2 linked regions of the Arabidopsis thaliana genome follow. The protein of the gene in region 1 interacts with the protein of each later gene in a pairwise test. Each region holds a gene or a part of one and is shown on either strand. Other genes may lie near its edges. The genes, in order: AGL48 and AT1G29960.

Region 1 (3,725 bases):
TATGGGCCTTTTTCTTAGCCCATATAACAATATGGGCCTTTTGCTTATATATTCTTAGCTTTTAAGAAATTTGGACGAGAATCAAAAGTTAAATATTCTTTTTTTCTGTCTGTTAAAATAAATTATTTGTTTGTTTCTATGGGTTTTTAAAGAAAATTTGTTATAAATTTGGCCAACTCATCCATCATATACTTATTAATGTTTTTATATAAAAAAAAACGTATGCATTTTAATAAAATCAGGTTAATGATTAAGATTAAGGATGGAAAAAAAAAGTAAATCACAATAAAATATAGAAATAAGAGATAGGTCTCCGATGAAATAAAAATGCATAGTCAAAATCAACGAAACAAAATGACCAACTCAAAGTCAACAAAATAAAAAGATTTTTTATTCCAAAACAACGAAACAAAATGACCAACAGTTTGTAGAAAAAAAAAAGACAAACACAAGTTTAAAACAACAAAAAGAAAAGCTTTTTAAAGCTCCACAAACAAACAAAGAAACACAGTTTAAAGATAAACGCATACAAACTTAGAACACAAACCAAATCAAGAGTTTAGAAATGATGATTGTTAAAACCCGGCCACACCATGTTGGTATTAGACGTCGTCGCATCACCATTGTTTTCTCCAGCGGTTGTTACATTAGGATATGGTTCTTGGCGAACACCATCATTAGCCGTTATAGTGTTGTTGCTCATGTAAAATTGTGAGTTGTTAATGTTGATTCCTTCGTTTATTCCCAGCTCACTTCTCATGTAATCAAAAGGATCTTGGCTTGGTTGATTCATAGCCATTGTTGGATTATTGATCATGCTGTGATGTTGTAAAGGTTGGGAGACTGACCCAGCCAAACCTTGGGAAGTCATCATTTGGAGACGAAATGGATCCATTTCCAAATGAGGGTTTCCGTTGCTACTGCTTCCTTGATAAAGACGATAGCTTTTAGGGTTTGGATTTCCGTTCTCCATTTGTTGCGGTATTTCATATTTAGGTGGACTAGGTGGAAAAACCCATTCATCAAAAAAGTAATAACTTTTACTCTGCTTAAATATATCGGTGTTGATGAATCTTGTTGCTTCATCTGTCCTTCCAGCTCTTTTATTATCTTGACCGCCTCCTACAAAACCATCATTTGTGGTGGTTTTGAACTCTTCGACTTGTATTTCAAATGGAAACACTGGTGGATCGCGAAGAGGAGGAAATTGCATGAAAGCTAGTTTCTTCCTACAAAGTAGGATAGTATCTCTTGAGAAAGATAACAAGGCATACATCTCACTTTGGTTAAGATCAGCAATTTCACGACCGCTTTGGAGTTGCATCATCAGCTCATCAATGACATGCTCCTTGTTCTTCTTTTTACTCTTCTTCAATTGTTCTTGAAACTTATGTGTCTTCTCTTTTAGGTAGGATTCGACATTTGACTCTTTCTTCTTCTGCACGGACTTCGGTAAAGCGAAAAATTCGTCTAGGAGACCATGAGTCGCCTGAGGAGATGGCCACACCAATGGTCCAACCTTATCGGGGCTGAAAATGATTACAATAGCCCTTACAGCACACAATATGGTTAGCTCTTTCACCTTTTTAAGTAATCCTACCCTCATTTTTTGCAAACTTGTTGCTCTTGACTTGTCATTCTCGATCCATACAAGTTTTACTTTCTTTCTTGTCATGATCACTCTTCGATTTTTATTTCTCTCTTTTAAAATTTTAAATGTTGTTGAGCATATGAATGAAGATTAGCGCGGGAATCCGTTTAAATAGTGTTGAAAAGATGAGATTTTGGAAAATGATACTAGTCAAAAGATGTAAAATTAATTGCTACTTACTAAAAAATATTGAATGTCTATGGTAATGTTTTAGTTAAACCAAACCTTTTAGATCTAAACCAAGTTGAAAATATCAACTCAAAAACTAGAATTTTCCTATGTTTTGGTTATAAAGTTATTTTCAAATATCATAAATACCATAGAAAATTGACTAAAAATGAAACTTATTTTGCTAAAAAAGTAAAAGTTTAAGAACTGAATTCAAAGCTAATTAAAAATTTACCAAACTATATTGGATTTGGTTTTACATTGATTATTCTTTAAAAACAATACTAGTAAACAAAAACTAAAATCCAAATCAAACCATTAACATGTTAAAATCTTTATGTGGTTAATTGTACTATTACAGAAAATTGAAATAACTGAATTTCTGTCCAAATTTAGGTCCTAGTCAATATACCAAATTGATGATTTAATTAATTGTTCTGTCATTATTTAATGCTAATGATTATATTGACTAACATTATTTTCATTGTTGTGAATCATATTAATTCATAGTGTTAGATAATTATTTTGGAAACTAAATGTTGACTATACATTTTCTTCAGTGTAAGTATCATTTTCATATTTACATAGTATGAATTAAATATATATATATATGTATTACCATATGTATACATAAAAGTTGACTCTTGAATTCTTTATTTATAAATTGTTTTTTTTACTTCAGATGTTTTCTTGTTATTACATTGAGACTCTAAACTGAGAATTGTTTATAATTGTTTTATACAAAAAACTGAAACAACAATACTTTTAAGGGAAAAATATAAGAGAATAATATATTCTTAAAACTCTAATGGACATCTTGTATCTTTTTCTTTTTCTTTGTTTAGCGATCTTTTTTCTCTCATCGTTGTGTTGTTGTGGTTGAATGTTTTCTTTTGTGTACGTAGTAACTCTCTTTGTTTCTCGATTTTGTTTTTTTTGGATTCGGTTTGGTACTACTTTGCCAGATTTCAATAATACCAAGATATAGAGGAAAACAATAAAACTAAGCTTTATTCCACATTGTCTGGTGATCTTTCATAAACAACATTGTATGATTTGATTACCAAAATAATCGGTTCTAGAAAAGTTTATGTCAATCTCTATCTAGTATATGAATCACCATACCCATATTTGTGCACTTAAATTATTACGTAACCAAGATATAGAAAAGTGTTGTGATTTCATATAACAAATGAAAATATAATAATCTATTTTGTTGTGTTTTGTATATATAATTATTATAAATTAAATTAATTATTAATATTGAAATATTCATGTATAACCCAGTCAGATATGGGATTATTTTTAATTTAAATTTTGTATAATACTGTTAAAAGATTCGAAATATAATCATAAACAAAAAATAAAATTGATTTTTTCTTGTCAACTTCCAATAAACACCATAGTAAACAAGAAATCACAGGACAAGGGAAATACAGAAACGGAGAACTCTTTTTAGTCAAAGAAAGCTAGGATTCGGACAAAATCATGTCCAAACACTTTGAAGGATGATCGATACAAAAAATTGTAAACTTGAATATGAAGTGTTGGTGTGAGAATACCCAGCTCGAATAATGTAAATAATCTTCTCAACGACAACAATTATGCATCCAGTGATGAACACTTTTTGAAAACGTGTTTCTCTCCATAGTTTCTACATTGATGATTCCTATATTACTAAAACTTAATAGAGATATGTGTAAATATTCTCAGAGATAAACAAAATATAACTATATATAACCTCTGAAACTCGAACAACCAAACAGAAATTATCATATCCTATCAATAATTATATATTAAGGTAGGCACACTGTGAAGGAAGTGTTGAACCAATAAAATTCCCATACAACTTTCCACCATCTCCTCCGATTCTCTTCCACATATACATACTTTATTGGAACCGTAA
Region 2 (4,384 bases), on another chromosome or scaffold:
AGGAACGGTATTTAATACACTTACAAATTTGATATTGGAAGAACCAAAGATGCCCTGGACAGCATTCTTCATGTTTTTCAACAGAACTTGCACTCGTCTGGTTGTCTTTTTCCTCGTTATTCTGTAATTTTGTTCCTTTCAGGTGAGCCAGCCTCTCATTTCACATCTTGTGTTTTTGTCTTACATTGGTACCTTGTGGAAGCAAATTTTGTTGTTGCCACCTTATATACAGCTTCTTGTGTTAAAACTATTGGCATCTCTTCCTTGTTTTGCAGGTGTTGTTTCCGGAATTCGGAATAGTTCTTTGTTGTTGTGCTTATTATACTGGTTAGTTTGTGAGAATGTGCATTGTTGGAAACAAGAAGGGAAACCGATCATTGAAGGAAATAGGAACTTTTATGATGACTACATGTTTCATTGCTAATTACCAATCCGTTCAAGTTTGCCAGGTACATGCCTCTCTTTGATTTAGTATTTCCTAACACTTCTATCGCTTAGGCAACACTGATTTATGTCATTAAAAGAACTCTATCCTCTTGATGACATGTGGATAGCTATTTGTTAGAGTATTAACCATAGTTTTTCTGATATTCAACCTTTCTTATAAATCATTGCAGGCTGAATATTTCAGACAGTTGCTTAAGCCTGTAACGTAGTCTAGCGTCTGGAGTTTTCGGAAATTGGGGTTTTGAGCGGCTATCTACTTTTGATTTCGAAAAAATTTACTGTGAGTTGTTAAAGAGTCTGGTATTCTGAAGAGCTGTCTGTGGGGGAGCTTCTGGTTTGGGGGGTAAGGGCTCTGGTGGAAACTCGTGATATCTTTAGTATGATGGCCATAACTTGATATAGCATTTGGTTCCGTGTGTCAACTTAGTGTAGTAGTAACTGAGCAGCTGGAAGCTTACAAAGGCGACAAATCGGTAGTAGAAAATATTCAAGCAGCTTGCAGTTTGAGGTGTACAACTTGTTTTTCTCTTTGCGTTTCCTTTTTTACGTTTGCACGGGTTTTCTGATGCAGAACAATCAGTTTCCTCACTTCTCAGATGAAGTGGGTGACAGAAATATGCACAACCCGTATGCATCAGGGTCATCCTATGATGCTTTGTTCCCACCATGTGCAAAGTTGCCATACCATGGTGTTGAACTTCAACCGTCTGCGGTCTGTCCAAAGAACTTTGTCATCTTCGATCAAACATATGACCGCAGCCAAGTGATGTACCATCCTGAGCTGACTCATAAGCTCATGAATACCCCTTCGTTGAACAATTTAGCTTCGACGTTTCAGAACGAGTATGTTGGGGGAAGTTATGGTAACTATGGTAACTATGAGCAAGAAGTATCCTCTTCTTATCAAGAAGATCCAAATGAGATCGATGCTCTCTTGAGCGCAGATGAAGATTATGAAGAGAATGATGATAATGAAGGTGAAGAGGATGGTGGTGATTCAGAAGAAGTCAGCACTGCTCGTACTTCTTCCAGGGATTATGGAAACACCACAGCAGAATCTTGTTGTTCCAGTTATGGTTACAACAACAACAACAACAACAACTCAAGGAAGCAGAGTTTATCGGGCAGTGCTAGTAGTAGTAACAATGATGGGAAAGGACGTAAAAAGATGAAGAAGATGATGGGAGTATTGAGGAGAATTGTCCCTGGAGGAGAACAGATGAATACAGCTTGCGTTCTTGATGAAGCTGTTCAGTATCTCAAGTCACTTAAAATCGAAGCTCAGAAACTTGGCGTTGGACATTTCTCAAACCAATCTTGAATGCTACCGATATTCGGTTCTTCCATCACTATTGTTTCTCGGGAGGTAAATCATCGGTCTAGCGCTATCTGGACCTTTCTCTTTATTTTCCTCCCTCTATACTCACTTCCTTTTGTTGGCAGGATGGTATCTATTTTATGTTTGAATCTCTCTATGTATTTTGCTTTTTGTGTGTTACTGCTTCGATGAAGAAGCAAGGTTTGAACAAGTACTTGTGGATTTGATTTGAGATTTTAATTTGTATGGTTTTACTTTCACTGTAATCATTTGACTATGAACTACAATTATCATTATGTATTTGCTTCTACATAGTTTTAAACATTTGGTCTTCCTTCTACTGAACAATGTAAGGGCCATCATTTTGAAAAGTCACGCTTATACCATAAAACGGGTCCTATACGTAACCAAAATTCAATTTCTGATGGAAATTAACTGGGTTATTAAATAACCGGGTTTATAAATTGGGTTATGATTACATTTTATTTTACACAGTATAGCTCAACGATTCGTCTCAAAGCTTCACACTTTCGTGAAATCTGCAGACTTTGTGTAGTTCTCAAATCTCGATTCGTTGGATTCAGTTGAAGAAATAGGCAATGGCGACTCCGTCGTCGTCTTTCTGGAACACAGCTTCACGAGAAGCCATGAAAAGCGGCGTGTTACTCGCGAAACTCTACTGCTTTCTTCATGTAACAACAAACTATCTCGGATTCATGGCTTATGTGAGTCAATCGAAATCTCTCTTCTTTTTTGGTGTAAATCGAATTCGTTATTGAAAATTTACCATAAAGATGTAGTCTTTTTGAGCAGGCTTATGGTCCGAGCATGACTCCGACGCTTCATCCTTCGGGAAATGTGTTATTAGCGGAGAGAATCTCGAAGCGGTATCAGAAACCGAGTCGTGGAGATATAGTTGTGATACGATCTCCAGAAAACCCTAATAAGACTCCAATTAAAAGAGTTATTGGTATTGAAGGTGATTGTATAAGCTTTGTGATTGATTCAAGGAAGAGTGATGAATCTCAAACCATTGTGGTATGTTTTGTTACTTAACCTTCTTCCTTGTTGACTTCACTTCACTTTGGTTTTGCTTATGGATGAGATTTTTGAATGTTGTACTTAGAGAACTGAGTTTGAAGAAGGTAGATACATTGTTGAGAAATTGAGTGATCAGAGTTGAAACAAGTTGTTAATTAGTATTGAGCTCGATTTAGCTGATTGCAATTCATGGAAAATTTTGAATCTTTTAGCAACGTTAGTGTTATTGGTGTATATTACAATTTCCTTTGGATTGTTTAGTTTGTTGGATTAATGGCGAATTGATCTTTCGATGTTTTTTTGGTTTTAGGTTCCTAAAGGACATGTCTTTGTTCAAGGTGACTATACTCATAACTCACGAGACTCAAGAAACTTTGGTACTGTACCTTACGGTCTTATTCAAGGCAGAGTGCTTTGGAGGGTATAAACTTTTTGTCATTAACTTACAAATATAGTTAGATTATCTGATTTCGGAACTTCAAATGTGTTATTTGCATTTGTTTTGGTAAATCTATTTGGCTAATCTTCGGTATGTATAATAATGTGTAGGTTTGGCCATTTCAAGATTTTGGACCGCTTGGACCAACCCCAACTTAGCATACGAGTTAGCTTGGTCATTAGGCCAATGAGATGACCGAGGCAGATTGGTAGTATGGTTAATCGTTGTTGCCGAGTGAGTCTGGCTCATGACTGACTATGAGATGCAGGATCATCATACCATTCACGAAGATGGGAGAATCTAAACGCTCAGGAAAAGTGAGTATATGGTTTAGACTTGAGAGCACGTAACATTATGTATTTTTGGTCTGACGCTGTATGTGAGAGTCGCCTCTGTATCAAAAAGTTAAAACAAACATCGAATGTTTTGTGTGAAGCCAAGATTATTCATGGGAAAATCTTATAACCATTTAAAAATACTACTTGATCAATAGCATTTCCCCACATTTTAAAGATTGCTCTATTTTCACTTAAATCAATCATGGTGATACCAATTGGTGGTAACGTCAAGTTTGTCAAGCCAAACTGTAGGGATTTTCTTAATTGTGTGTCAAATAATTTTTAAAACAATCATTGTGATTTATTTTCTGTTTTCCCACATATTTGATAGTTATTTAAAATCGTAGTTTCGACTATCACAATTTTTACCAATTGGTTATAAAAATTTATATAGTCAAAGTCCTTACAAAAAAAGTTTTTCCAGTCAAAGTCTCTACATCCAACATTAACAATTGTTATCAATCAACCATAACTATGCGGATAATCAATATTACCAACCTTCCAAACATTAATCTAAGAATTGACTAACTTTTATGCAATTTAAATTACTACCATTTTTCCATCTATATAAACCCTATCTTGCACCCACAAAAAAAACATATTCCTTGGCTAAAGCCAAAAACAGCAAACAAATACTTAGTTTAAATTTCTCTTATTTTTTTATAGCCAATAAACTCATAATTTTGTTTTTCTCCAAAATGAAACCCAAGAAAACCAAAGGAAAACAAAGGATTAACATCAAGAAAATTGAAAAAGACGAAGACAGATTGGTCACATTGTCTAAGCGTCGAAATGGTATCT

The links.
Region 2: the proteins of AGL48 (region 1) and AT1G29960 interact in a two-hybrid assay, tested with the Arabidopsis thaliana proteins (one large-scale study listed by BioGRID).

The regions. Positions count from the first base shown.
Region 1 is NC_003071.7:16,792,654-16,796,378, forward strand, and holds AGL48 (AGAMOUS-like 48), read right to left. Parts: upstream 1,676-3,725; coding exon 560-1,675; downstream 1-559.
Region 2 is NC_003070.9:10,492,449-10,496,832, forward strand, and holds AT1G29960 (Peptidase S24/S26A/S26B/S26C family protein), read left to right. Parts: upstream 1-2,178; 5' UTR 2,179-2,364; coding exon 2,365-2,490; intron 2,491-2,565; exon of another isoform or gene 2,566-2,578; coding exon 2,579-2,803; intron 2,804-3,116; coding exon 3,117-3,227; intron 3,228-3,355; coding exon 3,356-3,403; 3' UTR 3,404-3,757; downstream 3,758-4,384. Other genes in the region: AT1G29950 (basic helix-loop-helix (bHLH) DNA-binding superfamily protein), read left to right, coding at 1,013-1,768; AGL64 (AGAMOUS-like 64), read left to right, coding at 4,282-4,384.